2 linked regions of the Kluyveromyces lactis genome follow. The protein of the gene in region 1 interacts with the protein of each later gene in a pairwise test. Links are inferred from orthologs where the notes say so. Each region holds a gene or a part of one and is shown in the gene's direction. Other genes may lie near its edges. The genes, in order: KLLA0_C17380g and MSB3.

What was found.
Region 2: the proteins of KLLA0_C17380g (region 1) and MSB3 interact in a two-hybrid assay, tested with the Saccharomyces cerevisiae proteins (2 studies listed by BioGRID). The link is inferred for Kluyveromyces lactis from reciprocal best matches to the Saccharomyces cerevisiae genes SPA2 and MSB3.

The regions. Positions count from the first base shown.
Region 1 is NC_006039.1:1,516,822-1,533,596, forward strand, and holds KLLA0_C17380g (uncharacterized protein), read left to right. Parts: upstream 1-7,894; coding exon 7,895-11,254; downstream 11,255-16,775. Other genes in the region: 1-phosphatidylinositol 4-kinase STT4, read left to right, coding at 1-1,322; aconitate hydratase ACO1, read left to right, coding at 2,207-4,573; KLLA0_C17336g (MCT family MFS transporter), read left to right, coding at 5,654-7,102; MRPL15 (mitochondrial 54S ribosomal protein mL57), read right to left, coding at 11,749-12,474; RNA-dependent ATPase ROK1, read left to right, coding at 13,120-14,859; ATP20 (F1F0 ATP synthase subunit g), read right to left, coding at 15,157-15,516; DUR3 (Dur3p), read right to left, coding at 15,947-16,775. UniProt on the Saccharomyces cerevisiae protein: Involved in pheromone-induced morphogenesis and efficient mating, perhaps as a cytoskeletal protein.
Region 2 is NC_006037.1:670,831-686,818, forward strand, and holds MSB3 (Rab GTPase-activating protein MSB3), read left to right. Parts: upstream 1-2,367; coding exon 2,368-4,227; downstream 4,228-15,988. Other genes in the region: RIM21 (Rim21p), read right to left, coding at 112-1,671; MDY2 (Mdy2p), read right to left, coding at 4,339-4,974; SHR5 (Shr5p), read left to right, coding at 5,202-5,978; TGL4 (triacylglycerol lipase), read left to right, coding at 6,237-8,564; DNA-binding SCF ubiquitin ligase subunit DIA2, read right to left, coding at 8,639-10,801; Mn(2+) transporter ATX2, read left to right, coding at 11,227-12,171; BUD21 (Bud21p), read right to left, coding at 12,282-13,034; KLLA0_A07645g (uncharacterized protein), read right to left, coding at 13,393-14,211; TVP38 (Tvp38p), read left to right, coding at 14,866-15,783; RTS2 (Rts2p), read right to left, coding at 15,908-15,988. UniProt on the Saccharomyces cerevisiae protein: Regulates exocytosis by functioning as a GAP for SEC4. Stimulates specifically the GTPase activity of YPT6. Also required for efficient polarization of the actin patches.

The DNA.
Region 1 (16,775 bases):
TACGTGCATTGGAATCGCATGACGTAGAGAACACATTCTTCTACGTACCTCAAATTGTTCAATGTCTAAGACACGACGAGGACCAATACGTAGCGAGATTCATTCTCGACACCGCGAAGATCAGTCTTCAATTCTCTCATCAAATCATTTGGAACATGTTAGCAAACGAGTACCAGGACGACGAGGCTACCATAGAGGATCCAATAAAGCCCACCCTGGAACACATTAGGGCAAAGATGATTGATACGTACGATGACGAGGCAAAACAATACTACGAGAGAGAATTCACCTTCTTCAACGATGTTACCAGCATTTCTGGTAAATTGAAACCTTACATCAAGAAGACAAAGGCGGAGAAGAAAGCCAAAATTGACGAAGAGATGAGTAAGATTGTAGTTCAGAAGGACGTCTACTTGCCAAGCAATCCAGATGGAATTGTCGTTGATATCGACAGAAAGAGCGGTAAGCCTTTACAATCGCATGCCAAGGCTCCCTTCATGGCCACGTTCAGAGTGAAAAAGGACGATTCTGAGGAGAAATGGCAGAGTGCCATTTTCAAAGTTGGTGACGATTGTAGACAAGACGTGTTGGCGTTACAACTGATCTCTTTGTTCAGATCCATTTGGTCACACATCGGACTAGACGTGTACGTCTTCCCCTACAGAGTCACTGCCACTGCACCAGGGTGCGGTGTCATCGACGTCTTACCAGACTCCATATCAAGAGACATGTTAGGCCGTGAAGCTGTGAATGGATTATACGAATATTTCATCAGTAAATTCGGTAACGAGAGTACCATTGAATTCCAAAGAGCAAGAAACAACTTCGTGAAATCCTTAGCCGCTTACAGCGTCATCTCCTACCTACTACAATTCAAGGATAGACACAACGGTAATATCATGTACGACTCACAGGGCCATTGTCTACACATTGATTTCGGTTTTATATTCGATATCGTGCCTGGGGGAGTGAAATTCGAAGCCGTGCCCTTCAAGCTAACAAAAGAGATGGTCAAAGTCATGGGCGGTAGCCAACACACCCAGGCGTTCAGCCAATTCGAAGATCTATGCGTTGCAACTTTCCTAGGTATAAGACCCTACATGAACGTGATCATCGATGGAATAGTACCCATGCTAGAGAGCAGCTTACCCTGCTTTAAAGCACAAAAGACAATCAAGAACTTGAGAAACAGGTTTGTTCCGGGTAAGTCTCCTCAGGAAGCCGCCCAACATATGAGACAGTTGATCCGCCGGTCCTACGAATCGATGTTTACAAAGGGTTACGATGAGTTCCAAAGGTTGACGAACGGAATTCCATATTGAAGAGTGGAAAAAAAACAACAACAACAACAACAACAACAACCATGCCCGATCCTCGGGCATGGTCTCCATACCGTACCACTCTGTTACCCTGCAAACCGAACTTCGGTCATCCCAAGTTCGGTAAACTATTTTACCTTTTCCGATCCTCGGCCTTGGTCCATATCTCCACCGCCCTCGCCCCCGAAACAAAAACAAAAGCAAGGATGTATGGAGAAACCGAAGCCGCTCTTCATCCTTTTTTGCCTCGCCCATCATCGGCCCCTTCGACAAACGAGCGTAAAATGCCCACTGGCCAATCACAATCGGTCCTGGCCCCAGCTCACATAATCACCCGTACGTACCATTCTAAGTATCTCACCACCCTTTAACCGCGCTGCGCAGAAACCCCCGCGCCCTTTCATTTCCTATCCTTTATTCCCCTTTAAAACTCCATTTATTCAGTCGTTTCGACTCGTCCGCTACTGGCACTTCTACCGCTCGCTACTACAGCTTAGAACCATCATTTGGCTTTAACAGCTTTTGAAATTTTTTTTTTTTTTCTCCCTCTCTGGTTTATTCTGGTTTCATTATTTTTTACAGGCTTTCCTGTTTCAATCCCTCAGTGAATGATCAAATGGATCAAATGATGACTGTAAAAACAGTGGGCAAAGCATTATACCGTGATGTAATTTTTAGTTTTTTAATTAATACTGGCTAAATGTGTTGAAGATTTTGGCATTATATATATAATATAGCATTATCGGTTTGTTAGATTCTTCTTTTCCTTGGAGTTATTCAATTTGTTTCTGTATTTATTAGGTTCAGCGGTTTTTTTTTAGTATTTTCAGTTTTTAATAGTATTACATCTATCAAGGATTAAACCCCGCTTAAACTGCACTGAGATAATGTTGTCTGCTCGTGTTGCCTTGAAGAAGCAAGGAGTCGTTAGACAAGGAGTCATCAGACACTTGGCTACCGGAGTCTCTAGTACTATGACTAGAGACTCTAAAGTTCATCAAAATTTGTTGGAAGACCATTCCTTCATTAACTATAAACAAAACATTGAGTATGTCAATATCGTCAGAGAAAGACTAGGACGTCCATTGACATACGCAGAAAAGATTTTGTACGGTCATTTGGATGATCCTCATGGTCAAGAAATCGAAAGAGGTGTTTCTTATTTGAAATTGAGACCAGATCGTGTTGCTTGTCAAGATGCTACCGCTCAAATGGCTATCTTGCAATTCATGTCAGCAGGTTTACCTCAAGTTGCTAAGCCATTGACTGTTCACTGTGACCATTTGATTCAAGCTCAAATTGGTGGTGAAAAGGATTTGAAGAGAGCCATTGATATCAACAAGGAAGTTTACGATTTCTTGGCTACTGCTACTGCTAAATATAATATGGGTTTCTGGAAGCCAGGTTCCGGTATTATCCATCAAATCGTTTTGGAAAACTATGCTTTCCCAGGTGCTTTGATTATTGGTACCGATTCGCATACTCCAAATGCTGGTGGTCTAGGTCAATTGGCTATTGGTGTTGGTGGTGCTGATGCTGTCGATGTCATGTCCGATTTGGCATGGGAATTGAAGGCTCCAAAGATTATGGGTGTTAAGTTGACCGGTAGAATGAACGGTTGGACTTCTCCAAAGGATATTATTCTAAAGTTGGCTGGTATCACTACCGTCAAAGGTGGTACTGGTAAGATTGTTGAATATTTCGGTGACGGTGTTGACACTTTCAGTGCTACTGGTATGGGTACCATCTGTAATATGGGTGCTGAAATCGGTGCCACTACATCCGTTTTCCCATTCAACAAGTCTATGATTGACTATTTGGATGCTACTGGTAGAGACAAGATTGCTCAATTCGCTCAATTGTACCACAAGGATTTGTTGTCCGCTGATGAAGGTGCTGAGTACGATGAAATCATCGAAATCGATTTGAACACTTTGGAACCATATGTCAATGGTCCATTCACTCCAGATTTGGCTACTCCAATCTCTAAGATGAAGGATGTCGCTGTCAAGAACAACTGGCCTCTAGAAGTTAAAGTCGGTCTTATCGGTTCTTGTACCAACTCTTCTTACGAAGATATGTCCAGAGCTGCTTCCGTCGTTAAGGATGCTGCTACCCACGGTCTAAAATCTAAGTCTATCTTCACTGTGACTCCAGGTTCTGAACAAATCAGAGCTACCATCGCTAGAGATGGTCAATTGGAAACTTTCAAAGAATTCGGTGGTACCGTTTTGGCTAACGCTTGTGGTCCATGTATCGGTCAATGGGACAGACAAGATATCAAGAAGGGTGACAAGAACACCATTGTTTCCTCTTTCAACAGAAACTTCACTGCTAGAAACGATGGTAACCCAGATACTCACTCCTTCGTTGCCTCTCCAGAAATCACTACCGCTTTCGCCATTGCTGGTGATTTGAGATTTAACCCTCTAACCGACACTTTGAAGGACAAGGACGGTAACGAATTCATGTTGAAACCACCAACTGGTGTTGGTTTGCCAGTTAAGGGTTACGACCCAGGTGAAAACACTTACCAAGCTCCACCAAAGGACCGTTCTTCCGTTACTGTCCAAGTTTCTCCAACGTCTGACCGTCTACAATTGTTGAAACCTTTCAAGGCTTGGGATGGTAAGGATGCTTTCGATATGCCAATCTTGATCAAATCTCTAGGTAAGACCACCACTGACCATATCTCTATGGCTGGTCCATGGTTGAAGTACAGAGGTCATTTGGAAAACATTTCAAACAACTATATGATTGGTGCTATTAACGCTGAAAACAAGAAGGCTAACTGTGTCAAGCACCACTACACTGGTGAATACGCCGGTGTTCCAGACACTGCTAGAGCTTACAGAGATGCAGGTATCAGATGGGTTGTCATTGGTGGTGAAAACTTCGGTGAAGGTTCTTCTCGTGAACACGCTGCCTTGGAACCAAGATTCTTGGGTGGTTTCGCTATTATTACCAAATCCTTCGCAAGAATTCACGAAACTAACTTGAAGAAACAAGGTATGTTGCCTTTGAACTTTGCTGAACCAGCTGCTTACGACAAGATCAACCCAGATGACACCATCGACATCTTGGGTTTGACTACTCTAGCTCCAGGTAAGAACTTGATCATGAGAGTTCATCCAAAGGAAGGTGAAGCTTGGGAAACCCCATTGTCTCACACTTTCAACGCTGAACAAATCGAATGGTTCAAGGCCGGTTCTGCTTTGAACAGATTGGCTAACGCCAAGAAGGCTAAGAACTGAATAGATCAAATTTTTCAAGTATAAATTTGACCTCTTCTCTTCTTTTGGTTCAATCAACATCAAAAACAAAGCACAAATTTCCCTCCCACTTACAACCCCCCCATATTATTTATTTCTAACTCTTCTTTTATCCATCGTTTTTTGCACTTTCACATCTGCTCTTAGAGACCATTCAAATATTCCCTAAGATTTCAAAGATTTGATATCATCAAATACAATTAAGAAAAAGATTGATTGAGAAGATACTAGTAGTAGTATACTAGAAAAACCAAAACCATAAAAACCCTTTAACGAAAAAAAAAATACCAACACACATTCTTCATTTTATTATTATTCACCCTGTCTATCTCAACATTATCATTTTTTTTTCATATCATAAAGTATCATATCATTCGTATTATCTCTCTATCTCTTTCTTTTTCTTTCCCTTAGTATCGGCTTATCCGAGCTATACCATCGAACTTCACCAAAAACACGAAAAAGATGACATTACACACTTTATGCAGGATGTTAACCCACCTCTAATAACTTATTTATTTATTTTTGACGTTATGAAATACACATACATGCTTATCTTAACTACTTCTTTTGACTCATACCAGTTTGTTGCCGCTTATGACGCATTCGGCCGCATCTTCTTAGTAACAGCCAGACAAAGAATTGTGACTCAGCGCATGATATCCAACTGAAAACAGGAAAGCGATGCTAGTAAAAGCACATATACCTTGCAGTATCTGCAGCAGCAAAATATGCAGATTTTGTCGATTCGGAGCTATATGGAACTCCAACGGAACTATGTAGATCTCCAAACTCATTACTTGGTTGCTAAAACTTTTTTTTTTTTCCCTTTCGGCCTATATAAAATGGTCGAAATTCATTGTACGATGCCCATCACATACGGCTAGTAAACAAACTTGCATGTAAAATCAAGCTTAAAGGTTAAAGTTAGCCAAGAAAAAGGAAGGTATCGAAGCACCAAAGAGAAGTTCAATATTCGAACGAGCGTTAGCAAGGGTATGAACTGTAGTATTTGTGTACTTCTTCGATAGGGTTTTTGTTTTTTTATTTGAGAGAGATAGGATGGTAGAAAAAGATCTGGAAGTTAGCGACCAGAAGAGCAGAGAGAAAGATGCAGCATTTTATCAGGAAGAAGCTATGGTGAATGAAACAGAAAAATATAATGAATCCGTGGATTATAACAAGATTCAAATTCCGGACGGTGGATACGGCTGGGTTGTTTGTATGTGTTACTTTTTCCTTAACTTTTGTACGTGGGGTTCCAATTCTGGGTTTGCCATTTATTTGTCATATTATCTAGAAAGTAATCGATTCCCAGGAGCTACGAAATTGGATTTTGCTGCTATTGGTGGGTTAGCTTTTGGTGCTGGGTTAATATTTGCACCATTAATTAATTATTTTGTGATTAAGACCAGTGTGAAAACATCCATTGCTGTTGGGATTGTTTTGCAAGGTGCTGCGTTGTTGCTATGTGCATTTGCGACAAAATTATGGCAAGTGTTTTTGACACAGGGTTTATTGGTATCGTTTGGGTTAGCATTCATTTCTATTCCGGCAACTAACATCATCTCTCCATGGTTTAGAAGAAAAAGGACGTTGGCTCTTGGGATCGGTGCGTCAGGCTCAGGATTAGGTGGTATTCTTTTCAATTTGGCAATGCAAAGGATTGTCGAAGTGAAGTCATTGAAATGGGCATTGATCTCTCAATGTATTATCAATTCTGTGTTAAGTACCGTTGCTCTATTATTAATTAGAACAAGAGATAACGTTGTGCGTGAAACGGCTAAGGAAATGCCCAAATTTTTTGAGTTATCCCTACTGAAGAACGCTGCTGTATGGTTCTTGATTTTTTACGTGAGTTGCACAATGTTGGGATACGTTGTACTATTATATTCACTTAGTGCCTTCGCCGTATCCCTAGGTTACTCACAGAAACAAGGTTCCATTGTCTCTTGCATGATCAGTGTTGGTGGATTTGTCTTTCGACCAGCTGTTGGTCATGTTGCTGATAAATACGGGCCTGTAACTGTGGGGATCATAGTTCATGCTATTGTTGGTATCATATGTCTTGCCATGTGGATCCCATGCAGAAATCTTGCCACTGCCATTGCATTCGGGCTCCTATCCGGTGCATTAATGGGTAGTATCTGGCCATTACAAACAAGTATCATTTCCAGAATCGGTGGTCTTAACAAGTTACCAGCCATTTATTCTTTCACCTGGCCTTGTATCGGCATGATGTCCATTGTTTCCCCAATCATTGGTCTAAGACTACGTAGTAACGATCCAACAGTTGCCAACCAATACGTGAATACAGCCATTTTCTCCGGTATGGGATATTTCGGAGCTGCATTTTTCCTATGGATGATTCGTGGGTATCTAATAGCTCGTGACAAGCTCGCCATGGTTGCAAAGACAGGTCACGACGATGGTGAATTGCATTTACACGTCACGATTCCGGAACTCTTGAAAGGTCTACTGACAATCGGACGACTACCAAGAAAAGTTTGATGTATATAATAGAAAAAGATATACTAAAACAAAACCTAATAATATGCATGTATATTCTAGTATAATTCAATGCTATACTATAATTGCTCACACTCATTGTTGCAATGCTTTCGTAAGTGCGATGCTTAGCATACATTTTGCCCAAATCACCAAGGTATTGGTATCCGAAGAGTTGTATTTCCAACAGAAATCGCTGCTTTAGCTCAGTTGGGAGAGCGTATGACTGAAGTTCATAAGGTCCTGTGTTCGATCCACAGAAGCAGCATTTCTTTTTTATTTTTTTTATCGATTCTCTTTTCTTCTCATCACGTGAAAGAAAACGCCAAACTTTCAATAAAATTACGCGTTATCACGAAGAACGAGGTGTAGTAAGAACGCTTTTTTTCTTTTGGCTGAAAAAACGATGAGTTCTTAGGTATGGAAATTGAAATATTGGAATTAGAATCTTGTTTCAATTCGAATTAAACAGTGGATTAACTCTTCTTCATGAAAGAAAGTCAATTGTATAGAATCAAGTATTCATCATTACGAAATAAGTGCGAGTTGTTGTGAATCAGCGGTAGCGGTTTGGTAAAGACGATACAAGTCTTAAAAGGAGAAGGCCGTCAATTATTTAAACTTGGGAAAGTATCGAATTGAGTTATTTACAGACACACTGGTTTCTTCGATTTCACTTCCCTTTTTTGACCATTATACTTGAAACGAGTGTCCTCAGTGACAATTGCAATTGACATTAATACGTGTTCTTAATTGACCATTGTTTGATAATTTGTTTTCATTTTACCGTTCCAAATGAAAGAGGGTGCTAAGGAACTGAAATATGCACAAAAAGTGCAGATCCATAATTATTATGTTGCTTTAAAACAATTCTTTGAGGTTACCGGTGGTAGCCATGATAGATCAATGACATCGCGTGCTCAGAAAGCACGTTCAAAGCTGTTAAAACTTTCTTCGTCACAGTTTTTCGAGTTGAGTACTGACGTCAGCGACGAATTGCAAAGACGAATTGATGAATCACAGCCACAACATGACTATTTAGTTCCTAATGAAAGTTTCCATGCAAAGAGGAACCAGGCAAGACAAAAATTGGCGAACTTATCCAATGCGAGATTTAATGATTTGGTCGATGATATTCTTTTCGAAATCAGAAGACGTGGGTTTGACACGTTACCTGAACCAGAAGAAGCAGATTATCAGGAATTCCCAAATGCTGATACTGATGAAGATTTTAATTCGAATGACAAGGCAGAGGTCTCCTCTCCTGCATTACACGTACTTGATTCTAAGCCATCGCCAATTGTACCTAGCAGTATAAATAATACGTCGGTGGAAAAATTACCAGAAGATGAGAATTCTGCACTTAATGCAACTTTGCAGACTTCTACAGTCATTCCAAAGACAGCATCAATCGACTGGAGTTCAGATGAAGAGGATCACAAACCAGAAGCTGATGAGAAGGAATTAGCTAGTGAAGACAATGACGTTATTAAGATAGATAGAGCGTTTTCACTAAATCAGTCCCCGGTCATTATTCCAGATGAAACACAAAGCCCACCTCAACCTACAGCTTCCTCACCTGTGGGAAATAGAAGTCCGATTTCCATAGATGACCATTTCACGTTCTCAGAGAGACCGTTATCACAATCCAGTGAGGCTAGAACTCCATTGGCTCAAACTGCTGCCACTACAGCAATGGCTGCAAGTGCTGGGTTGTCGCCTTTCACCAGTAATAAAAATAAAATGGGATCCTTGTCTCAATCGGTAGAACGTAACAAAGATCGTGATATAGAGCTATTAGTTCTGGAAGGGAATAAGTTGGACAGTACCATTACAACTTTGGAGAGAGAAAAATCAGAACTTTTGAATCAATTAGATGAATTGAAGACCAATAATCAACGATTAACAGAAGAAGTTCAGCAATTGAAACAGAATGCCGACCAATCAAGTACTACTAAAGCTCTAGATAGTAATTTCCAAAAGGGAATGTCCGAAATGACTACTCAACTAAATCAACTGTCAATAGAAAACGAAGAACTCAAACAAGAAAAACTAGAACTTCAGCTGCAATTGAAAAATATACAGTCTCCAGTTAAATCGATTGACGGTAAATCAGGGAAGGATGCTGCCTATTGGAAATCAAAGTATGAAGACGCTTTTGCTGAAAAACCTGTCAGAACAAGCTCTTCTTCTATGGCCCCCATTTCAAACAAGCAACTTTTCCCTGAAACTAGTATAATACCGTCAAATCTCATCGACGACTTGGATTCCAAGTTATCACAAATACTAAGCCTCATTGTGTCACCTGAACCTCCAGTTTTGTTTTTATTCGAGAACATTGCTTCCATTTCAGAATATTGTTCAAAAATTTTAACTTTAGTTCACTCCCCAGATACAAAGACCATGAGACTAGTGTTAGAGAACACAATATCACATGCTATCACATCTGTGCGTTACTTCAGCAGCTATAAAACTCCATTATCAAGAGTTATTCTTGAAAATTCTGTTTCAGAAATCTCATTTGCAATCTATGATTTGGTTAAGACGGTAAATGGCGGATCCAATAACGATGAAATATTCACATCAAATAAATCTGGTGATCAACTGGATAGTCCACTTGGCCTCTCCATGCAAAATAGACAAACCTCGAATAACTTTGCTAAAGGTTTACACGAGGGAAGTGTTTTAGACAAACCATCACTTCTTCCTTCTCGGGCTGATAGCGTTGAAATGTCTCCGGTCAAACCTTTGAAAATTACCCAGAAAAAAAATACCGACGACGCGTCATCAAGGCCTGTTTCAGTTAGAAAGCCCTCTGGAACTGGCTTATTTACAGCAATGCTTAATGGGGGTATGAAGAAAGATAACGCATCAAAGAAATCCAAGAATATATTGCAGTTAGAATTACCTCTGGATAACAATTCCAAATCGGAAAGCAATGCTCCTATAATCGAACGCAGAGAATTGAAGACCATTGATGCAATTAAGTCTGCTTCAGCCAGCAATTCACTTCTACCTACTTCGCCACTTGCCAAAAAATCATCAGCAGTTGTTCCTTCTGACTTTAAAGACCCAAATCCTTTTGAGTTATCATCTCCAGAAAAGGGAAAGCTATTGCAAAATATTAATTCTGACATATACAACAGCAATGATGAAGAAACTGAAAGCGAAAGTGTAGAGGAGGAGGACGATGGGAATTCTACATATGAAGTGTTAAGACAAACCATGAAGCAAAAGCATCTACAAGAAGAAAACGGAACCAACGAAGAAAAAAATTTGAAAGGAATTTTTTCGCCAGTGGTACATCCACAACCTATTGAAGTTTCAACAGAGGATGTCGACTTAAATGAGAAGTCATTCAATTTTGAATCTGAAGAAAATGCTAAATCTGAATCTGAATCTGTACCTTCGATAACTGTAAACAAAAAGAATATAAAACTCGTTCCTATCCCTGCCGTTACTCCAACTTTGAAACAAAAAGAGCCATCCCCATCACCTACTGCCGAATTGGTTATTTCTCCATTAAGGCCTATAGTAACTGCTTCTGATAATTCAAAAGTTAATGACGATCAGAAGGCCGTCGATGCCAACAAAAGCGAGTCAGAAACTAAAGAAATCGCAGAACAATCAGAAACTGGTGAAACTGACGACGACATTGAATTTGACGTTGATGCGTTTGACATTGAAAATCCTGACAATAGTCTTTCTGACTTATTGCTATACCTAGAATATCAGACAATGGATGTTATAAACACAATTCAATCGTTATTGAGCAGTATTAAGTTACCTAAATCCACTGCTGGAGAACTAAGAACCGAATCAAATGCTATCAATCAAGTAATAAGGCAAATGGTGGAAGCTACAAGTGTTTCCATGAACCAAAGCCGTAATTCTCAATTGAAAGAACATGGTTCATGGGTTGTTCAGAGTTTAGATGACTGTCGTCGTAGAATGACCATACTTTGTCATCTTAAACCAGACGGTATTGTAGTAGCGCACGAGGGGGACGAAGAGTTCGCAGATAAGCATTTCAAACAACGTTTAGCTGGTATTGCATTTGATGTAGCAAAGTGTACCAAAGAATTGGTAAAGACTGTGGAAGAAGCTAGTCTTAAGACCAACATTGAGTATTTAAATGCTAAGCTTTCCAAGTAAATTACCAGCAAAAAACATCCCTTCTATGAAGTTATATATGTATTTATATACATGTATTGTATTATGTACTTTTCTTAATCTGTTTTTATTTTGTATGTTAACATTTAATTAATGATAGATTTAGTTGTAAATTTATGTACGTCTATATTTCTAGAGATACATGAGATATATACAGTGCGCGCGTTTCTTTCGAGGTTCATTTTTAATTGAAGTGTGACGATGGAGTGTCGTTAAAAGGTTATGCTTTTCATGCTTTTGGTAAATTCATTATAATAAAACGTTGAAATTGAGCAGGGATGAAAGAGTAGATTAAAACACCACATTGACCAAGAGCTGTGATTGAAACTTCCGTTTCGAAATATATATATACAAGTTTTGAAAGCTCTTTCCCAACTCCGATGGAGACCATTCACTCGAGTGCTTTTTATTGATGTCGAAGTCTATTGTGTATTCCATTTCTCTTTCTTTCCTGTCGTGTAAAATTAGACATAATATTATAACTTCTCGGTCGTATCCCTGTTTGCTAACAAACTTTCAGATATCTTCGTTAGGGAATCACTATTGTCGCTGAATAGTTCATGCAACACGTATTCGGTGGCCTTGTCTTGACCGTGCAATAGATAGACACTGCCGACCACAGAATTTAGCACAGTTTGTAGCACGGTATACTCACCGTTATATTTGTGACTTTTTTGAGTGTCTCGTTTGTTCCAAAACACTAATTTATCTAGGTTTCTCCTTTGCAAAAATTCAGCCGTACTCTGTTTGGATATTAACATTTTAGAACTTCCCTTCCCAAGCATACCGAAATTTAGTCCGTTAATAACAGGTTCAGACTGTACGCTTTGTGATAGTTGCCTTTCAGAAACAGGTAGACCCAAGGAATGAAGACAAGCTTGATATTTCACAAAATGACCACCGATAATAGACAATTTCTGATTGTATGGTTTAATACCTTGGGCAAACGACTTGTGAGTCAAACATTGTGTAATGATGTCGTCTGGCAAGTCAATACCATATTTTTCCAAATTCAAACCTTGCTTAACAGTAGATACATGGCCATCCTTGACAAGAGAATCATAGTGCAAACCGTGTGGATTCTTCAAAGACTCAACTGGGTCTCTTTTCAAACCACGTACCCTAGTCCCAACGTGTAGATAAGAACCATTACGCACGCCGAATTTTGTGCTTAAGTTAAGACCAATTTTGGTTAAGGACATTATTCCAGAAGTAAAAAAATACTGTCTGAATGGTTTCTGTCTGGTATTTTCACAATTCAATCTTCCTCGACCGAATATCAACAGATTGTAATTACACAGGACACAAATATTAGAATTATTGAATCTTAATTCTAACAGTTTAGTCCTTTTAACTACGATTCAAACTGTTTCTTTGTAGTTTTTCGACTCGAGGCAGCGATCCAAATTTTGAAATTTTTCAAAATTTTTCAGATCACTCCAAACGAGGTCATCGCTGTGTCTAAGTGCTATCTTGTATGATGGGAATACATGCAATATCAAGGCATTAGGTACTGTTATCAAGGGAATATGGTCATTATGGGCTGGTATTATGAGGGCTTAATACCAGCTGTATCTTAAAGTAAGCTTTGCTGCATCTTTATGCCTTGAGAAGTACTTTTATATCGATTTTTACACTTATTGTACCCTAAGTTTTGTGAAAAGAAACGCTTCAGTAAGATCAATTTTAATTGAAAAAACTGCAATTAGATGTAGGCGATGAGATGAGATGAGATGAGATGAGAGAGTAGTAAGAGATTGATTATATCACTCACAGTGGTTTACTATCGAATTTATTCTCATTACTAAGTAACTTCTCACAGGCCAATACTAGCACCGCTAATTAACATGGATATCTTTAGAGTCTTGACTCGTGGAGCTAGCATAAGGAAGAATGGTGATTCTAATAGAACACAGTCTGCAGACTTTAGCATGGCTAATGAAAAGAAGAGTAAGACAGCTGGCAGCTCAAGTACACCAGCTAGAGATGAACAACAATTGACTAAGGAGTTGGATTTTTTCCGTAATAAGAAAATCATGAATAAGGTAAAGTCTGAGTCAACCAAAGGTGAAGGTGAAGACGAAGTACAAGAAGATAATCAAGAAGAAGACGAAGATCATGCTGATGACGAGACTGAGTTATCCGGGAAAATTATCACGAAACAAGATGCGTTAAAGTTACGTAAATCTTATCAAGGGAATGTTTCAGGGAATAGTGTTCCTTTGCCCATCGGTTCTTTTGAAGACTTGATCACAAGGTTCCAATTCGATAAGAGATTGTTAAACAACCTCATAGAAAATAACTTCACTGAACCAACTCCGATTCAAAGTGAATCTATACCGATTTTGTTGCATGAACGTGACATGATCGCTTGTGCTCCCACAGGTTCTGGTAAAACGTTGGCATTTTTGATCCCACTACTGCAACAGATAATCAACGATAAAACCACAGTTGGTCTTAAAGGTTTAATTATATCCCCAACAAAAGAACTTGCGAACCAGATCTTCATCGAATGTTCCAAATTAGCGAACAAGATATACTTGGACAAGAAAAGACCTCTGCAAGTTGCCCTACTTTCAAAATCATTAAGCTCAAAATTAAAGAATAAAGTTATCAGTGAGGACAAGTACGATATTATCATTTCTACTCCCTTGAGATTGATTACTGTGGTTCAGGAAGAAGCCTTGAATTTGGGTAAAGTGAAACATTTAATATTTGATGAAGCGGATAAATTATTCGACAAGACATTTGTGGAACAAACTGATGATATCTTGAGTTCATGTACTGATCCACATCTCCGTAAAACAATGTTCTCTGCCACTATACCATCCAACGTGGAGGAAATCGCCCAAACCATCATGAACGATCCTATCAGAGTCATTATCGGTCACAAAGAAGCAGCAAATATCAACATTGATCAACAATTAGTATTCTGTGGTAACGAGGAAGGTAAACTTATAGCCATCAGGCAATTGGTTCTTGAAGGTGAATTCAAACCTCCAGTAATCATCTTTTTGGAATCTATTACAAGAGCCAAGGCATTGTTCCATGAATTGCTATATGACAAGTTGAATGTGGACGTGATCCATGCCGAAAGAACTCAAGTTCAAAGAGATAAAATTATCGAAAGATTCAAGTCTGGAGACCTTTGGTGTTTGATCTGTACCGATGTGTTGGCTCGTGGTGTCGACTTCAAAGGTGTGAATCTGGTCATCAATTATGATGTTCCTAGATCAGCTCAGGCGTATGTGCATAGAATCGGTAGAACAGGTAGAGGTGGTAGATCCGGTAAAGCCATTACTTTTTACACGAAACAAGATTCTTTGGCAATTAAACCAATAATAAACGTGATGAAGCAAAGTGGATGTGAAGTCTCAGAGTGGATGCAAAAGATTTCTTCCATGTCCAAAAGAGAGAAGGAATCATTGAAAAAGGGTAAGGGTCATGTGGAGAGGAAACAAATCAGTACTGTTCCTAAGGTTGTAAAACAAAAAAAGAGACAAAGAAGAGAAATGATCGAAGCTTCAAAGAAACGGAAACTCTCTGTATCGGATGCCGAGGAAGAAGCTGGCAACGATTCGACCTAACCTCAGGATAACCCCTGTTGCTTATTTCCAATATCAAATGTTCGAATTAAGTCATGATGATATACATATAATTAAAGCGTCGCAGAATCCGTATGTATATTACATATAGACGATACATATATATAGTCTTTTAACACTTCATCTGGGAAACCAGAGTAAAAGTCGCTTTATTTTTAGGTTGTTTTTTTCTTGGCTGGAAATGAATATAGTGTTGTTTGTAGTTGTTAAAATTTCGTTCGTATGTTACTGAATATGCTTTTAAAATTGATACGGTCGGCCTCTCAATCAATTCCATTTTTAGTGGTGAGTAGAGTAGTTACGGTAACCAACAACCTTTCTTCTACCGATAATTTCACCCAATGAGTATAAACCTAACAATTGCACGCCGAAAGCACCGATCTTAACGGCTTGGTCCTTTTCAATGTTCTTCAACAAGTTAACAACTTGTTGAGGCTTATCAGCATAACCCAAAGCTTGTCTGTACAATCTGGTGTAGACCATTTCAAAGTCCGAGAAGTTTGGTGGCTGTAGACCTTCCTTAGTGTAGACCTGCTTGGATAATTCAGCAGTAACCTTACCGTAGTAAACGGTCTTGGTCAACAGTGATTGTGTCTTGTGTGTCAAAGAAGAAACTAAAGATTGGACTCTGGAAATCATTGCTGCTCGACTTTTATCTATTGAATACACTAAACCAACCAAGCTAGAAGTGTGAGACCTTGTAATCTTCTATCAATTGACTCTTGACTTGATGCTTTAGTTCGATATCTCTTCATGTTTGGTTCAATTCAATGAAAATTTTGAGGGAAAAGATCAACAGTATTACCCGGACATTTGAAATATCCGGCCAATCATATTTGAGAACCGTTGACTTAAACGTAAGTGAAGAGTACTTCACTTCTTGTAAAGCTTATGAATAGCGGTGGTTTACTCCATGGCTGGTCTGTATGCCTTATGGGTTTCTGTTAAGGTTACTGTGACCCCGTTTTACCCTGGCCATTGATGTCTTTAAGAGTTATTATCATAATTAAAAGAATTAAGATGGTTTATGGATGACTATATGAGAAAAACTATAAGGTGATGACTTCCATCAACGTTCGATAACATCGTCCAAGTTTTGCCTCACTTTACTTTTGTTAGTTTCCGATCTGATTGATTCGATCTTTGCTATGATTTGAGATTGCACAGCTTTCATTTCCCGTGGGTTAGCATCTTGCCATTCCCTTAATTTGTAGGTTTGACCCGATAGATCCCAGTATATACCTCTTACCGTGGTATATATGCCGTGTCTTCCTTCCCATAGTGGGTAACAGCACACACAGAATGCAGTGAAGAAGATCCAAATGATTAGGACACAGACCCAACCGGTAAAGAACTTTTCAGAGAAGATGTATCCGGTACCATACATTGGCATTGGCCATAGGACCATAAATGAAATAGCGAAAAAGATGGCCAAATATCCAGCAATCTTACTAGCTCTGCTTAGATACTGACTCTCTTCTTCAGCCATTCTTTCAATGGTTTCTCTTGGGATTTCGTCTACAGTTGTTATCACGGTTTTCACAGCTTGCAATTTCTCGGCATCTTGATTGTTACCAACACTGTCAGAATCAGAGACAGAGACTTCGTTTCCCTCGGCTTCAAGTAACTCTTCTTCTTCATCAGCTCTGGTAATGGTCTTAAGGATCTCCCAGTCGAAATTTTGTGGTTTGAAGATGTAAGTCAACAATGGTATCGTAATCAATGGTGATAATAGAGCAACAATGTTACCAGTTAGCATTGGATCATCTTCAAAAGTGGTACTGACGGTGATTTCACCGTATAAGGATTTGGTGCATACTAACCAGGACATAATTGCAAGACTTGTTCCGATAATTGGCGATGCTACCACTGCTACTAAGTTTTGGGCATCCCAAAAC
Region 2 (15,988 bases), on another chromosome or scaffold:
GTTTAATGTTACTTGTAACTTTGGTATTCTTCAGTCTTATTTGAATCTATCCCGATCAGCACTGGATGATGGGTTTTGATCAAAATAGGATCCATGATCCAACTCTTCTTCCTATTCCATGACAGAATCTGAAGACATAGTAGTTTTCCGATATAAGTAAACATCTTCAGGTTCGTCTAATCCCACCGTTTTCCTAAGTCTTTCGGTCTTGAGCAACTTTTCAGCATCATTAGTGAAAGAGTCAAATGTTTTAGAACCAGCTAATGCATTAACCATCACATTATCAGTATAGTAAACAATTGACTCAAGAACATGGTGGCATTTATTCCAAAATGTTTCCGCTCTCTTGAACTGTGTTATATTACGTTCACCTTGTTGAGTATGGAGAGTGACTTGGTCTGTCGCCATGGTCCCGAATGTCGAAGTCCTCTGCGAAGAGTTATCAGTTATAATTGAACTACTATCATTAGTATTCGCATTTTGAAGACTTACGTTTGCATTGTCGTTCGAATCACACGTGTGACCATGATCATGAACGTGACCATCTCTATGCATTTTCATTGCATTTTGCATCCTTAAGGCGTAAATGGCGAAATGGAAATTCTGCTCTTCATCCTCGTATATGGGTCTTCCAAGAACACTGGCAGCATGGATCTTCCTTTCCATCGTATGTATTCTATTGGTCCATTCCAACACTATAACGGTGGAGGCCAAATAACACGTAGTATTAAAGATCTCACTTAGATCATCGATCCACAAGTTTGATACATCGACGATGAAGAACGTGGGATGCAAGAAGACTGTAAAAATGGTCAAAAGAGTTAAAAAGATCATTCTCCCTCGGAAGCAGAGAGACTTTTTAGTTAGGACATGAAAACAGATCACGCTTGCGTAACAGGTTGACAATGCAATCCTAAACAAATAAACAAAAGGCGGGAGAATATCGATATCCGAATCCGAATCCTTCGTCGGTACTGGACTCAAAGTAGGTATGACCCATAAAATCTGGGTCACAAGGATTAAGAACAACCCAAAATAGAAAACCATCCTCTTCTCTTGCATTCTATCAAAGAATCTCATCACAATCTGCACCTGGCTAATCTGCAATAAGAATACAACAACTAAATCGATACCAGCAAATACCTTATCGCCCCAAAGAAGATTCAAAAACGATGTAGATGACACATAACCATTATAAGTATAATTCTCTGCAATATTCTTCCATACTCTAATGACAAATATGGAAAGGTTTAATGATGCCAACAACGCACCCAATTTCAAAATGTACGACGCCTTACGACTGGGTTTGGTAGGAACGTTGATGAAAACGATCACCGTTAGGAAAACAGTGATGATAAAGTTGGCAGTAACAGAATAAATGACAGAATAGATGCTGTATTTGAACGGTCCTGTATATCCATCGTTGTTGATATAACTATTCCAATCGAAAGCCACAATAGGAAGATACGGACACTCATCCTCTAACTCCACAAACGATGAATATAATGGCGTGCCGTCTTGACAATTACTTGTAAACACTAATGACTTGATATAGGCGAACTTATCGGGTAGTTTATTCCATATTAGCACACCTTCGTCTAATTGGACACCTTGACAACTTGAATAGTCCTCTGACGGGAAATGATATCTCCATCTGGAACGCCCTGTCATATTGATCTATAACAGTGAAATTAACTTCGATACTAAACACCATCCAACATCACACATCAGCAGCCGGTCTCCAGTACCACACAGATGAGCTAATGGGTTATTTAACTTATATTTCTCTCTCCGTTTTACTAATTTCCTTTCAAGTCTTCAATGCTCATCGCAGGTGTGGTTTTAAGTCTAAAAGTTCAAATATGAATGTGGAGTATAAAAGAAAGGCGTGACATACACTTGTAGTTACCATTACCATTAGAGTAAACCTACAAACAACCTCCACAGACTCACTATGTGGTACCAGACTCCAACACTGGGGGCGAACACATGTCCTAGGTGGTATAAACCACGAAATGTGTACTGAATGTTCTTTCACGTGACAATCACGTGAAAAAAGCATGACTGAAATTGATTTCTCGATCTGTTTTCATTACTGCTTAAAGGATTTCTGATCAAATGACTAGCAGGTTTGAAGCTCTCACACTCTACAACCAAAATTCAAGAGAGAGGCATAGGTCTTTCAAGGTGCTAAGGGACGTGTTTGGTTTTCATATCGGGCAGATAAATATCCAAAGTTGCAACATACCAAGATCTGAGACGCGTAGCTGAATTCAAAGCTCATCAAGGTAACTTTTTCCAGTTTGTTTTGGTGATTTTTTTTGTTTATAGAACATCACATGACTGTAAAACCGAAGGTGAAACTAGATGAATCAGGATCAAAATCAGGCAAATCGTATGTATAAAGGTCCAATACGTTTACACACGATGTTTTCGCCGAGTGTACCAGACCTGAATCGAAAATTCAGTGATTTGAATACTAGTGAACAGTCAATTGCTGTTAGTGACGGGGGAGTTGCGTTACGGAAGAATGTTGTTAGAAACAATTCTAACTCGGAACGTATATCTGGAAGCAAACGCCCCAAGAGCACGATATTAAGGGAGAACTCAGCTGGATTATCTCTGATAAATCTATACTACGATTTGGATGATGAGAACGAAGAAGAGATAGGTCAAGTTTCGATGAAGGGACATAAGATCAATCAGAATAACAGTGGATCATCAGAATTGGAGTTGAATGAGGGAGCGTTAACACTAGCAACCGAGGATAAGACCATTAATTTAGATGATAGTGGGTCATCAGATGCGTTGAATGGGATCGGTCAATTGCCCACGCCAGAATCGGAATCTCGTGCGAGTCAATTGCTTGGAAACTCGTCTCTGATAGAAGATGCAGCTTCAATCAAGGTGAAGGATTCACATTTGGATAGGTATGGATTCATGAAGCAGAACCAATATATCTCAGAGAAACAATATAACGAATGGTGGTCAGAGTACTCCAAGTACTGCATTCGAAGGAAACGGAAATGGAAAGACCTACTTTTAAAATCAGGTTTACCAGTAGATAATGATTCTCCAAGTCGATTCCCTTCAAAGTCGGAAAAGTTGAAGAGATACGTGCGAAAAGGTATACCAGCTGAATGGAGAGGTAATGCTTGGTGGTATTTTGCCCGCGGTCAAGAGCTTTTGAATAAAAACATTGGTGTTTATGATAAATTACTGACTAAGATCAATGATCCAAGCTTTACAAGTAAAGATACTGAGATTATAGAAAGAGATTTACATCGGACTTTCCCTGATAATATCCATTTCCAAAGATCCAAGGTCAGTTCCGAGGACCCACTAATTATAAAATCTTTAAGGAGGATCTTAAAGGCTTTCGCCATCTATAACGCTAAGATCGGTTATTGTCAATCGATGAATTTCTTAGTTGGTCTTTTACTATTATTCATGGATGAAGAACGTGCATTTTGGATGCTAGTAATAATGACATCTAGGTACTTACCAGGAGTGCATAGTATTAACCTGGAAGGTGTCAATATTAACCAAGGTGTGCTTTTACTATGCATAAAAGAGTATCTGCCACACTTTTGGCAAAGAATATATTCCAATAAAGATCAACAACACAGTCCCGGCCTATCCAATAAGAACGAATTTCTCTATAAGTTGCCACCAGTCACACTCTGTACTGCCAGTTGGTTCATGAGCTGTTTCATAGGAGTAGTACCTATTGAAGCTACCTTACGTATATGGGATTGTCTCTTCTATGAGGGTTCACACATTCTTTTCAAGATGTCGTTAGCGATCATCGAACTAAGCGAGACCAATTTACCAAAATTAAATCACGTTAGCAGCCGAAACTCAGACGATGAAGACATGGAATTATTCCAAGCTATTCAAACATACCCTAGACGGTTGATAAACCCCAACGATATTATAGACAAAGCCATCTTCAAGAGGAGATTGAGATTCAATGCACTCAATCAAGAGGAAATCGAACGATGTAAGAAGTACGTTATCTCTCAAAGAGCCAAATACAAGAACTTCCAAGATGTAATGAAGAATGAAACCACCAACTCCAATAATAAGAGAGACTCCAAATTGGCACAGGAACTGATCAATGAAACCTTTTCTAACGAAGGATACGGATTCAAGAAGGGTTTAAATGGGGTAAATTGGAATAATAACATCAAAGAAAGAGTACGTAGATTGAGCAGAAAGAGGTAATTCTCTCATCACCAATGGAAGAAAGAGCAGAAATATCTAAAAGTATAAAATCACTACATATATAACCGGGTTGTTTTGCATTATGGACCAACAAATGACATGTTCTATCTTTTACTTACTCAACTCCCAACCTTTCTGTAGCCTTCCAAGGGCCACTGAGGCCGTGCTAGCATCCAAGCTACTCTCTAAAACGGTTCTAATTTTATCCCAAGGCAAATCAATATCTGTTTGAGATGAAAGATCCAACTGTGGATCCTCCATATCGACATCCATCAACTCAAGTTCAGGTTCAGGTTCCTGCGCTGGTTTCGGCAAAGGTGCTGTTTCCACAGGTTTCTCTGCTTTGGAAACCATTGCGACAAGGGATATTTTATCCTGGTTCAAATCGGAGACCAATTGAGTGTCGTGGAGGACTTTACCCTTTAACAACAACTTGATTTGACCAGTTGTATATATCTCAGGCTCGGTTTCCACTAAGAATTCCTTGATCTGACCCACGGTATCGGTAGATTCGAAGCTTTTGGAATGAACAAATTTAGGCGCTTTGATCGATTTGATGGTAACTTCTACAACTTTAGAGATACTCTTAGAATGTGATTTACTTGGATCATATTTGTACCTCAATGGGGGCAACGAAACACCAAGGTTTGTAACTTCATGTAATGGTTTGCGGTAGTTCGATGCAAGTTTTGGCTCATTCAAAGCGGCCAAACTCAAAAATTTACCAACGAAATCAAGTTCAGACATGATTGGAGGTGGGATGTGCGATATTGTAGTAGTTTAGTTCCTTATACTCCCTTATACATCTCTTCATTAGATGTCTAACTTGTGTTAGTGTTAATCTGAACATAAATATCAATTCCGTTAAATTTATTTCAATTCCTACATAAAAGGGTAAAAACACGAACGATATCAGATCAATACGGGAAATAAGAGGTAGAAACGGCATTCTACCAGGTAACATTGCAACACAAATGGTATCACTGGTACTGGCAGATACTGCAGACAGTTCAGATCTATCTAAAGCTGCGATTACCGTTGAAGAATCAACTTCTGCACAACAACCGAAATTCTTCAATTACCATGAATTTGTGATTACAAAGTACAGAGCACTAGATGAGGAATCATGCGAAGAGCATGGACCTGAGAATCCAATCTGCATCACCCATTTTCCAAACATATACGTACCTGAAGAAAGCGATGAATTTAGAACCACTAGAGTCGTTCGAATTCCCAGAAGGTTTGAGTCATCCACAGAATTTCCTAATTTCAGCACACAGTTACCTGGGTCTGAACCAGCAGCCTTACCAGATACTCACAACAAGGAGTTCGTTCCGGCAGGAGAGTTTGAAGGCCAATGGTATGGCGAAACGTCAGTGAGCCCATTATCAAACTATTTGGATCAAGCGGAATGGACTGAAATTGTAACTCGAATCAATTCACTCTTAGAGGCTGCATACAACCCAATAACCAGAAGAAATTTTGTCAACGTCATATTGGACCTCTTGACACTGAACTTATGGAGTATCATCGAGCCATACCTGTTCGTTAACCCGTTGCAATCAGTTGAAGACTATGTCTCGGAAATCAATCGATCGGAATCGTTCAGATTGAAGGGCATAAAGATCATTCCGCCCCGAGAAAGCTCATATCTATCGGTATGTATAGATAGCCCAGCATGGATTAAACCATGCACAGCCATAAATGAACCCTTACTAACCCATTGTGACACCCTTATCGTCCTTCTTTAACCAGCTTGATGTTGTAACACCGATGCCCAATCACTGTTGACGGCGTTGAAACCTTTAAGGAAACATGCAAAGGAAACAAAGCAAAGAATGACACTTTAATAACCACCACATGACTGATTTGCTTGAAAGGATTCTGTTGATGTGGTCTAATCAACCTATAAAGGGCACGAAGCATAGCATCAGATAATAAGCTTACATACGCTTTGCTCTGTTGCATACACACAAACCTGCTGAGCGGGATATTACTTATATTTTAGAATGCCGAATGTCATGAACACGCCCAGCGTGACTGATATTAAAGATGACCCGATTACTAGTTATGTCATTAAGAACTACTACAAGAGGGCCAATAAGGGCGCCGAAATGACAGAAGAACAGAGTCGCAATGATTCTGGACAAGATGAACCGCAGTTGAACTTTTTCTCCTCGCTGTGCAATAGCTTTTACAAATTTATTAGGGGAGCCGATAGTACTCATGAACAAATAGCTCGTCTCATAGAGCAGAAACAGAATGCGAGATCTTTACAGGAATGGCTTGCGGCGGCAACGAAGCTAGACGATATTACAAATGCTGAACAATGGAAATCAAAGCGGGAGTCTGTATTGTATGATTATTGCCTTGTCGAATCCAGCACAGAAGCGATGAAAAAAGCGCGCTTGGCAAAGGATTGGCCTAACCTCTTATATCTTATAAGAACCACTTGGGTTCGGAACCGTGGTGGTATGGGGAATGTAAACCTTTATAGGCATTCGTATGTTGGAACCAAGCATATCATTGAGGATTACGTGGCAGAATCGTCTAGATCTTTACAAGAACTAGTTTATAATTCAGATTTGGACGACACTTACTTGCTGGGGATGCTCACACAGACAAGAAAGAATATAGGTAGAACCGCATTAGTGTTGAGTGGTGGTGGCACCTTTGGATTGTTCCACATCGGTATCCTTGTGACGCTTTTCGAGCAAGAATTACTTCCTCGAGTAATCAGCGGCAGTAGTGCTGGTGCAATTGTTGCTTCGATTCTTGCTTCTAGACAAGAACATGAACTCATGGGCTTAATGGATGAAATCCTCGTAAAAGACTTCAATATCTTTAAAGATGACTTAGAAATGAGCGAAAGTGAAAACCTTCTTATAAAGATCTCCCGGTTCTTCAAGAATGGTACTTGGTTTGACAACAAAAATCTTGTTAGTACAATGATCAATTTCTTGGGGAACCTTACCTTCAGGGAAGCATATAACAGGAGCGGGAAGATTTTGAATATTACAGTCTCGCCTGCATCCGTTCATGAACAACCGCGGCTTTTGAACAATCTAACATCTCCGAATGTCTTGATTTGGTCCGCGGTTTGTGCCTCTTGTTCTCTGCCTGGCATTTTTCCATCTTCTCCCTTGTACGAAAAGGATCCAAAGACCGGAGAAACAAAACAGTGGAATTCAAGTTCGGTCAAGTTTGTCGATGGATCAGTCGACAATGATTTACCGGTTTCCAAACTTTCTGAGATGTTCAACGTTGACCATATTATTGCATGTCAGGTCAACATACACGTCTTCCCCTTTTTGAAGTTATCTGTATCCTGCGTAGGAGGAGAAATAGAAGATGAGTTCAGTGCAAGATTCAAGATGGCATTAGGGAAAGTTTACAAATACATGGCCAGCGAAGTGATACATGCATTAGAGATTGCTACCGAAATTGGTATCGGAACCAATGTCCTGACAAAGCTAAGATCAGTGTTGTCACAACAATATAGCGGTGATATCACTATACTTCCTGAAATGAATACACTACTACGATTCAACGAACTACTATCTAATCCCACCCAAGAATTTCTACTAAGGGAAGCTACTAATGGTGTTCGTGCTAGTTGGCCAAAAATATCAATCATAAAAAATCACTGTGGTCAAGAATTTGAACTAGATAAGATGATTAATTATCTAAAGGGGAAGATCATATCTAATACAGATATCAAAGGAAATCCCTTCCAAATTTCAAATCGGGACGTTCCTTTGATTAACAGTCCAGTTCTTGCTAATAGCGAAAAGAAGGCAATACAAGTATTTGATGATGTGCTATTAAATGCTGATAATTTGGATAACTTTATGGTAGTACCCGACGGAACAGGTTCCTTAAAATCACAAGATTTAAACAATCCTCCGAGATATTCAAATGAGTTTGGAAGCAGGGCGCACAACCGTCGCAAATCAGACTCTGCAACCAACGGAAATCGAAAGGGTAAGCGTCATAACTCTATATCGCTACCATATTCGTCTTCATCTTCGCCATTATCAGAGAAGAAGTATTCTATGATAAATTTCCGTCCTTCGTTTGACAAAAAGACGAGCACAGGCGATCTACAGGTAAGGAAACCGTACCCATATCCTCCAAAGAGCAGCAGTTTCTCTAGAATCGATTACGATCCGAGATCCAATTCTCTGACTCCGATACTTGATCATGCTGTGGGAACCCGCAGGGATGACTCAATTTTACACTCTGATGTGAAATCTAATCCCAACTCTCCCTTGAGGTTAAGAACGAAAAGCTCCGTTTCAAGAAGAGCATCTCGAAAGAATCCCGATACTGCGTAACAAAAGTGCTCCGACTGAAGTGCACGCCTTTACTCATCCTCTGTGATTATTTAACTATGTATAAATGCTATTATTTAACGGTACCAAAATGAATTCACACCGAATTTTTCCCATTGTTGCTTATTGAAGGCACACTCAATGTTTTCAACGTAGCCATTACGTTCAATATCCTTGACCGTTGTGGCCGATATATGAGAACATCCATCGATAACCAAAGTTTTAAGTGTTATTCCATTATCAAAGAGTTCTCTTATAATGTCATAAAGTTGATATCCTTGCATAGAAGGATTAAACGACAGGTCCAACCTACTTAATGAACCAATTTCTGATATGACAAGTGCTAACTGCCTGAAAGCTCTAACCTGGTGAGAACTCATATTCGGTACACTGAGATCCCTTAGATGCGTCATATGCCGTAAAAACAGAAATGCAGTACTTTCTATGTCTGTCCTTGGGTAAAGTTCATCTGACATTTCGAATACATTTCCGATGTTTAGCTTTCTAATAGAAGGAAGTTCATTTAACAACCTATATAGCACACTTCTTGCAATGGCAGAGTTCATGATGTCTAAAGTCTGGACCGCTCCAAGATTTGCAAGAATGGGTTCGATTTGTTCATCGGTCCACATTTGGCCATTGAAGCTCCTATTAGATTCAGTGGAACTTTCCCTAAAGGTGAAATATTTTAAGCGCTTCAAAACGTTTGGCTCTTGCAAGCTCTGTAAGAATCCCATCAAAGACAAACCGGTGTTCCGCTCTAGCCAAAGATCCGTGAGGTTGGGGAACTTTTTTATCCAATCTGCAGTCTGGTTAAATCTGAAATCACGGTTGGTAACAATAAGTTTTGACACATTGGCAAACCGCAGGGTGTCCGAAGAAAAGATGCAAGCAAACGGCGTGGGACCTGTCCATCCATTATCTTTGAATATTAACTTAATGGATTGTAAGGAACGACTTATATTGTCATTGTTCGGAAACTGCAATTGTCTGCGTCTGTGTATGGAAGAATTTCTACCTGGCACCATAGCGGTCCCAATAAGTACCTCGATTTTCTTTAAATTATCGATACGTTCAAGGAAAACAACATCCTCATCTGCCCAATGGTTAGGATCATAATGGCCAAAGACAGAGAACTCTTGAAGATTCGCAATCAATTTTTCCTTATCCGAGATCAATTGAAGTACCTTCAAGATATTCAAATTAGTGAATTGTAAGACCAGTTTCTTCACTTCCTGGTCCAATCCGTTGAACAGTAACTGTGAACACTTAGCTTCTTCATTAGTGGCCATTACAGAGAAGTTCAGATATTGAATGACGGAGCTCACACACCGTTTCGTTTTCACGAACCTTAACAGTGAATTAATCTTCGAATAATTTGTCTTGGGAACACTTAAATAGTCTATAATCATTGGAGTGGTCGATAGTTTTCGATACCAAAATTTGGATACCAGCATACATGATGTGATATCCTTTGTATCCAATCGCCGCATGATAGATATCACAAGTTCTGTTGGGAAAGTTTGGATAGGGTCTATAGTTGCTCGTTTCATTTTCTTATTCATCGTTGAACCGTCATGGTCTTGATCTGTATCGGAGACAAGGTCATTTTCCTCAATGTCCTCATTGTTAACTAGTTTCTGCTCTATTAAAACACGCTTCTTACTTGGTATCTGTTCGGAATTCCTAGCCCCGGATTCAGCATCATTGCTATTAACCAACTGCATAGCGTTCCTTTTCAATAATTCCTCGTACCGATCACTGAAAAGCTTCTCATGTACCGGAGACACGAGAACCCCGCGTTCCTTCAACTCTTTCACAAGTTTCCTTCCGCTCTTGTATACCTGCCTTGCCCTATCACCCTTATCAGCCAGCTCGTACGACTTCCCGAGCCTTAACAAGGCCCTAGTACTAGACGGTTCAATCTTGCAGAAATACTGTGATTCCTTAACGGCTCGTGCATAGTCGCCAACTTTCATCAAACACGATATCCTGCTATCCAATAGTTTCACGTACAGAGGATGGTAAGCCTTACTCTCATCGTAAGCACATCTCTTGGGCATTCCAGCACGTATACGAATATTTTCCACCATTTCCATCGGATACGATCGTGACACTTTCATGGCTTTTGAGAAAAGACCCAACGCCTTGGAATATTCCCTACATTGCATCCATTTCAGCCCCAGCTCATAAGTCCTAGTCAGCAGCCCATCGTCTAAAGCATCGATTTCTTCACCCATTGGTTCATTGTTAATTTTACAACAAAATGATGCGTCACCAGTTGCTCTCTTTATCTACAGATTAAAGTGTCACTGTTTTCCGCACTGCGTTCTTTACGGAGATTTTACCAACCAGTTAATCTCACTCTACCCACTGCTACAGTCGTGCAGAATGGCATTAACACAATGCACCCGGTTATATCCTACATGTTTTTCCATAAAGAGATATGTTCAGGGTCCAATTCTTACTTCGAACATCAATTCTAAATCGCACGATTTAACCTTTCAACGTTGATATATAAGGTAAATAATGACAAAACACGTTGATATGACTGGTCTTTGGCACTAATTGTGTGCGTTATACGTCAGGACTGCAATTTGAATCAAGATTGGTAGCGGTAATAGACACTAGTGAGAGGTGAACACGGATACACGTTTGATTAACCATGTCTCAGCTGCTAGAACCTTTACTTTCGGCAGTATTCCTATTCTTTGCGACATTAGGAACGGGGCTTATCCCGGTGATGTACATGAGTAAGCTAGCTGAGAAGGGAGACTCTGGCATGGGGTACTTGAAGTATGTGTCTGATTTCGGTATTGGTATGTTGTTAGGTACTTCTTGTTTACTAGTGATACCGGAAGGTGTCGAGAAATTCGGTGATAAGGGTGGCCGTGGGTTTGGGATCAGTTTGTTATTGGGATTCATGATTCTATATGGACTAGATAGGTTCTTACATGCACTGCAAGCTGGTCACATCTTAAGTGGTTCGTTTGATGCTTCTGCTGCGCCTGATCCTCTTGAGAGGAATATCGATTTGATCAATCCAAGGAAGACGGTGCCATTTATCTTAACGAACAATATCGTATTCGCGTTGGTAATCCATGCATTCTCTGATGGACTGGCGTTGGGGATTGCCGAATCCTACGATTCGTTGAAATTCGTGATGTTGATCGCCATTATTATACATAAAATTCCTGCGACGCTTTCCTTGACGGGGATTATGATTTCGAAACAGAGATTACCCAAACTACAAGTAATCTCTAATCTTATTGCATTCAGTATATCCACACCGTTCGGGTTGCTATTCGTGATCCTGATGAGATTCGTCAGCAAGGACCTAATCGAGAAAATGAGCGATGGGCTATTGGTTCTGAGCGGTAGTAGTTTATTGTATGCTTCATTGCTTGCGTTGATCTCACCAAGTAAGGACCAGGAACAACAGTTACAGAATGATGGCCCGATCCCAGTGTCGGGTTCTGTTTTAGAGATGGGCGAAGGTGTTACCACTGAAGAGAAAATAGAACAAGAATCACTTCCAGATGTCAGATTGTTACTCTTGGGTATCTTTATCCCGTTAATGATCTCTTTCTTCGCTCCTCATGATAGCTAAAGCCAATCAGGAAACTCCTCTTTTAGATAATACATTATACACGAGACAAATCACATGTATAAAGACCTGTATATTTGAATAGATAGGTACATGTGGGCACAAATCCTCTTCTATTTACGTTTGAGACTTCTTCTTTTCAACCATTTATCCTTTGATTTCATGACACTGGTTTCCTTTTTTGGAGCCAGTGTCTTAGATACCTTCATCGACGATAGCAAGTTCACAGTGACAGGTCCTTTCTGTATTTGGGTCTTTCTCAATTCCCTTAGTGATCTCTTCTTTTGTTTCCGTAATTCTTCTTTTAGGGCCTGTTCTTCTTCTCTTTGCGCTTCTGCCGAGAAAGTAATATGTTTCGGCGTAGCCTTTGCGAAGGAAGATGCAGATCCACTTTCTAGCTCATCAAAGAACTCTTGTGGTAACTCTTCCGGCTCATCATTATCCGAACCCTGCTGCGCTACTAATTGTCGTTCAAACTCTAACATCTTTTCTCTCTGTTTCTCCTCCTCAGACTCGAGCAGCTTCTTCTTCTTCTCTAGCTGCTGTTGCTTGAACACTTTCTCGTTCTTTCGTCTCTTCTCTCTAGCTGCCTCTTCTTGTAACCTTGCAGCCTCTTCTCTTTCCTGAATCCTTTTCTCTATAGCATCTTTCCCACTACTCAAGCCTTCTTCTTCTGGCGCATCGCTATCACTCTCACTCTCACTTTCACTTTCACCATTCGCTTCTGCTTTTGTTGGTTTGAGAGCATCTAGGGTAGAGTTGCCCTCATCAGCTGTATGGAATGAATCATCCGCATCATCATCGAACTTCAAGTGTCTCTTCGCTACCAGTGCAGCACCAGAACCTAGAACTTTCTTCAAACCCATTGTTATATTTCTCAGTAAACTCTTGCCACTTGTCTAATCCAATGCACAATTGAACAGAAACACTGACAGAACGGTAACACGACCTGCTTCATGGACTAGTTCCAGTGGTTCATCTCATCTCATCTCATCGCTTTGTCCAAATTTTTCACTTCGAAAAGAAATGATACGTAAATAGAGGTCACGTGCTGAAGATTTTGTTCCTGACACTGGACTACGAGTAGAATGCTCATCACCCGTTAACGGACTGTGCTGTGTATTGGCTGGTTCTGGTGCTATTTGTTGGTTAGATTATATCAATTTATATCAACTTTATTGCTATGCTAATGGTATTTAATGTGTAGCTTGCAGTACTGAAACATCATGACACTTTAAACTCAATATCACAGAACTGGGTACCAAAAAGCATTCTTGCCACGTCTGTACCCATTATCCAGCATATACATGCCTTTATAATAACCAAGAGATATGATCTACCAGTTCCTGTTACTAAAGAATATATTATCCCAATGACACAGATGGTGATTAGGATATAAGTTATGATGACAGGATATCTTGCGTATAGCATTTGCAAGAACCGACTTAACGGACTGGTAAATGGTGATTCCCTGGATGGGGGAATTGAGGGTGACTGCACGGGGTCGCCTGAACATGGCTGATCGCTTGATGGTGGTGGTATTGGAATTGGCAACGAGGGTGTTGACCAGCAATGTATCTGTGCAGTGGGGTTGGACTCTGGGGAAATTGTTTGGTATGTTGTCAAATCAGGCAACTGTGATTCTAGTAGCGGTGACGATTCCTCCGCGACGCCGATATGACCCTTTTCTAAATCGCTGGCATTATATACCAAAGAGTCACTAACATTTCCATCAGGTAATGGTCCTACTATTATCCTAGTTGGTGTGCTGATTGGAACAGACTCCGGATGTGGTGAAGATTCCACAATGCGGACAGATTTATTCTCATGTTCGTGCGTGCCATCAACAGGTCTTAATATAGACTTGATTGGTATGGGAGTGCTGCTTTTCTGGCTACTGCTCTCACCGGATTGCATTGGTGGGTCCAGTTGTTTGGGTTTAGGTTTGGGTTTGGGTTTAGGTTTCGCTGCTGAAGCTGGTGCGTAAGTGATTGGTTTATTTCGACGTTTAGGCGAAAACCGCTTATTCAATAAGCTCTTCATATGATTTAGCTCTGTACAGTAGAAGCTGACGTTCTCTCTAAATATCTAGATTCAGATCTCGACCTTGAACGGTTGGAGAACGTCTTATGTCGTGTTCTCTATTAAAACGTTTGTGGCTGGGATCTAAATTCAGTTCAATTTGACGTCTGGAAAACTGACACAAGGAATTACCGGCGATTGAACAGCCGTGTCACTTCAAAATCGGGGGTTTAGTAGGGTGTAACCATCTGTAACAACAGGACAGCTATCTTGGAGAGCCCGTGCTTCTAAGTGCATCGCTCTGTGTTTTCTCTTGTGAGGTGGTATCATTTATTGCAATATAGGATGAATATCACGTGACCATAAGGTCTCCGGTTAAAGGTGATCTAGATATATTGACCGTCAATATGATCACACAGGTTGTAACACCAGTTCCGTGCATTCTTCTGCTCTAACTAAGAAAGGTTGTAGTTCACTTCAGGGACGGTTAGAAACCAACTCTTTCCATCGTATCCTTCATTATTCACAACTCCGCCACTATATTACAAAACATTTAATTAATTCATCAAAGAGATTAACACTTTGAACACTGTATATCTGGAAATCAGAGAAACATATGCTGTTGTCAAGCCTCTTAGTGTCGGTAAAGACTCAAGGTCAATTGATACTAGTATAATGGCTGATCTTTACGAGGCTAGAGTTAGTTCTGGCGGTTTGTCGAGGCCTTCAGACACGGATTTTTTGGATAGTAACGACAACTTTGATGATTTGGACGATGACTTCCTTGACATATACAACTTGAGCTGGAGGCAACGTATTGTTCAACATGGGAAACGGCATTTAAGAAATGGCAAGGATAAGTTTAATGCGTTGAGCAGACGAAAGAAGGCTCTTGTGGTGTTTTTAGGGGTCCTTGAAATCATATTAATCTTTATCACAGTAGTTAAAAGGGAAGCGATAATGAAAGGGTTGGTGGATGCCTCTAATGATCTGAGACAGAAATGGTACACACCTCTAGTTCTAATGCTACTTATATTAGCGGTTTCGTTCCCGCCATTGATCGGATACTCATTTTTATCTCTCTCTACAGGTTTGATCTATGGGCTTTCCTTCAAGGGTTGGTTCATTCTTGCCATGTCCACTGTGATTGGATCAGTTCTCTCATTCACAGTATTCCAGAGATTGTTGCATTCCCATGCTGAGAGATTGATCAGAATGAATCCCAAATTAGAAGCTGTATCATCGGTATTACAAGGTAATGACAGCTATTGGATGATTGCTCTTATTAGACTTTGTCCGTTCCCATATTCTTTCATTAACGGTGCGATAGCTGGTATTTATGGAATCTCAATCAAGAACTTTGCCATTGCTAACATCATCACCACACCAAAAGCGGTTATTTATCTCTTCGTTGGTGAAAGGCTCAAAAACATGGGAGAAACAGACTCGGGTTCTACAAGGTTAATCAATTTCATCTCTATTCTATTGGCTAATGGATTTTTAATATTAACAACGTGGTTCCTCTATTACAGATTCAAAAAGAGATACTTAGAACTACAATCTGAACAGCAAAACTCTTTTGACATCTTTTAGAAAGAACGGCCCAAACGTGAGTTATATCTTGTATTATTCGCAAACAAAGTTGCAATGCTACGTGTGTAGCGCGGTATATACTTCAATGAACGGTCCCCATTAATATTACATATATATAAGTGCCTCATTTCGTTGGCTTGAAAACATTTTTGAGCTTCTTTTTCGGTTTCTTCTTAGTCACCTTCGATGTGGATACTGTTAGATT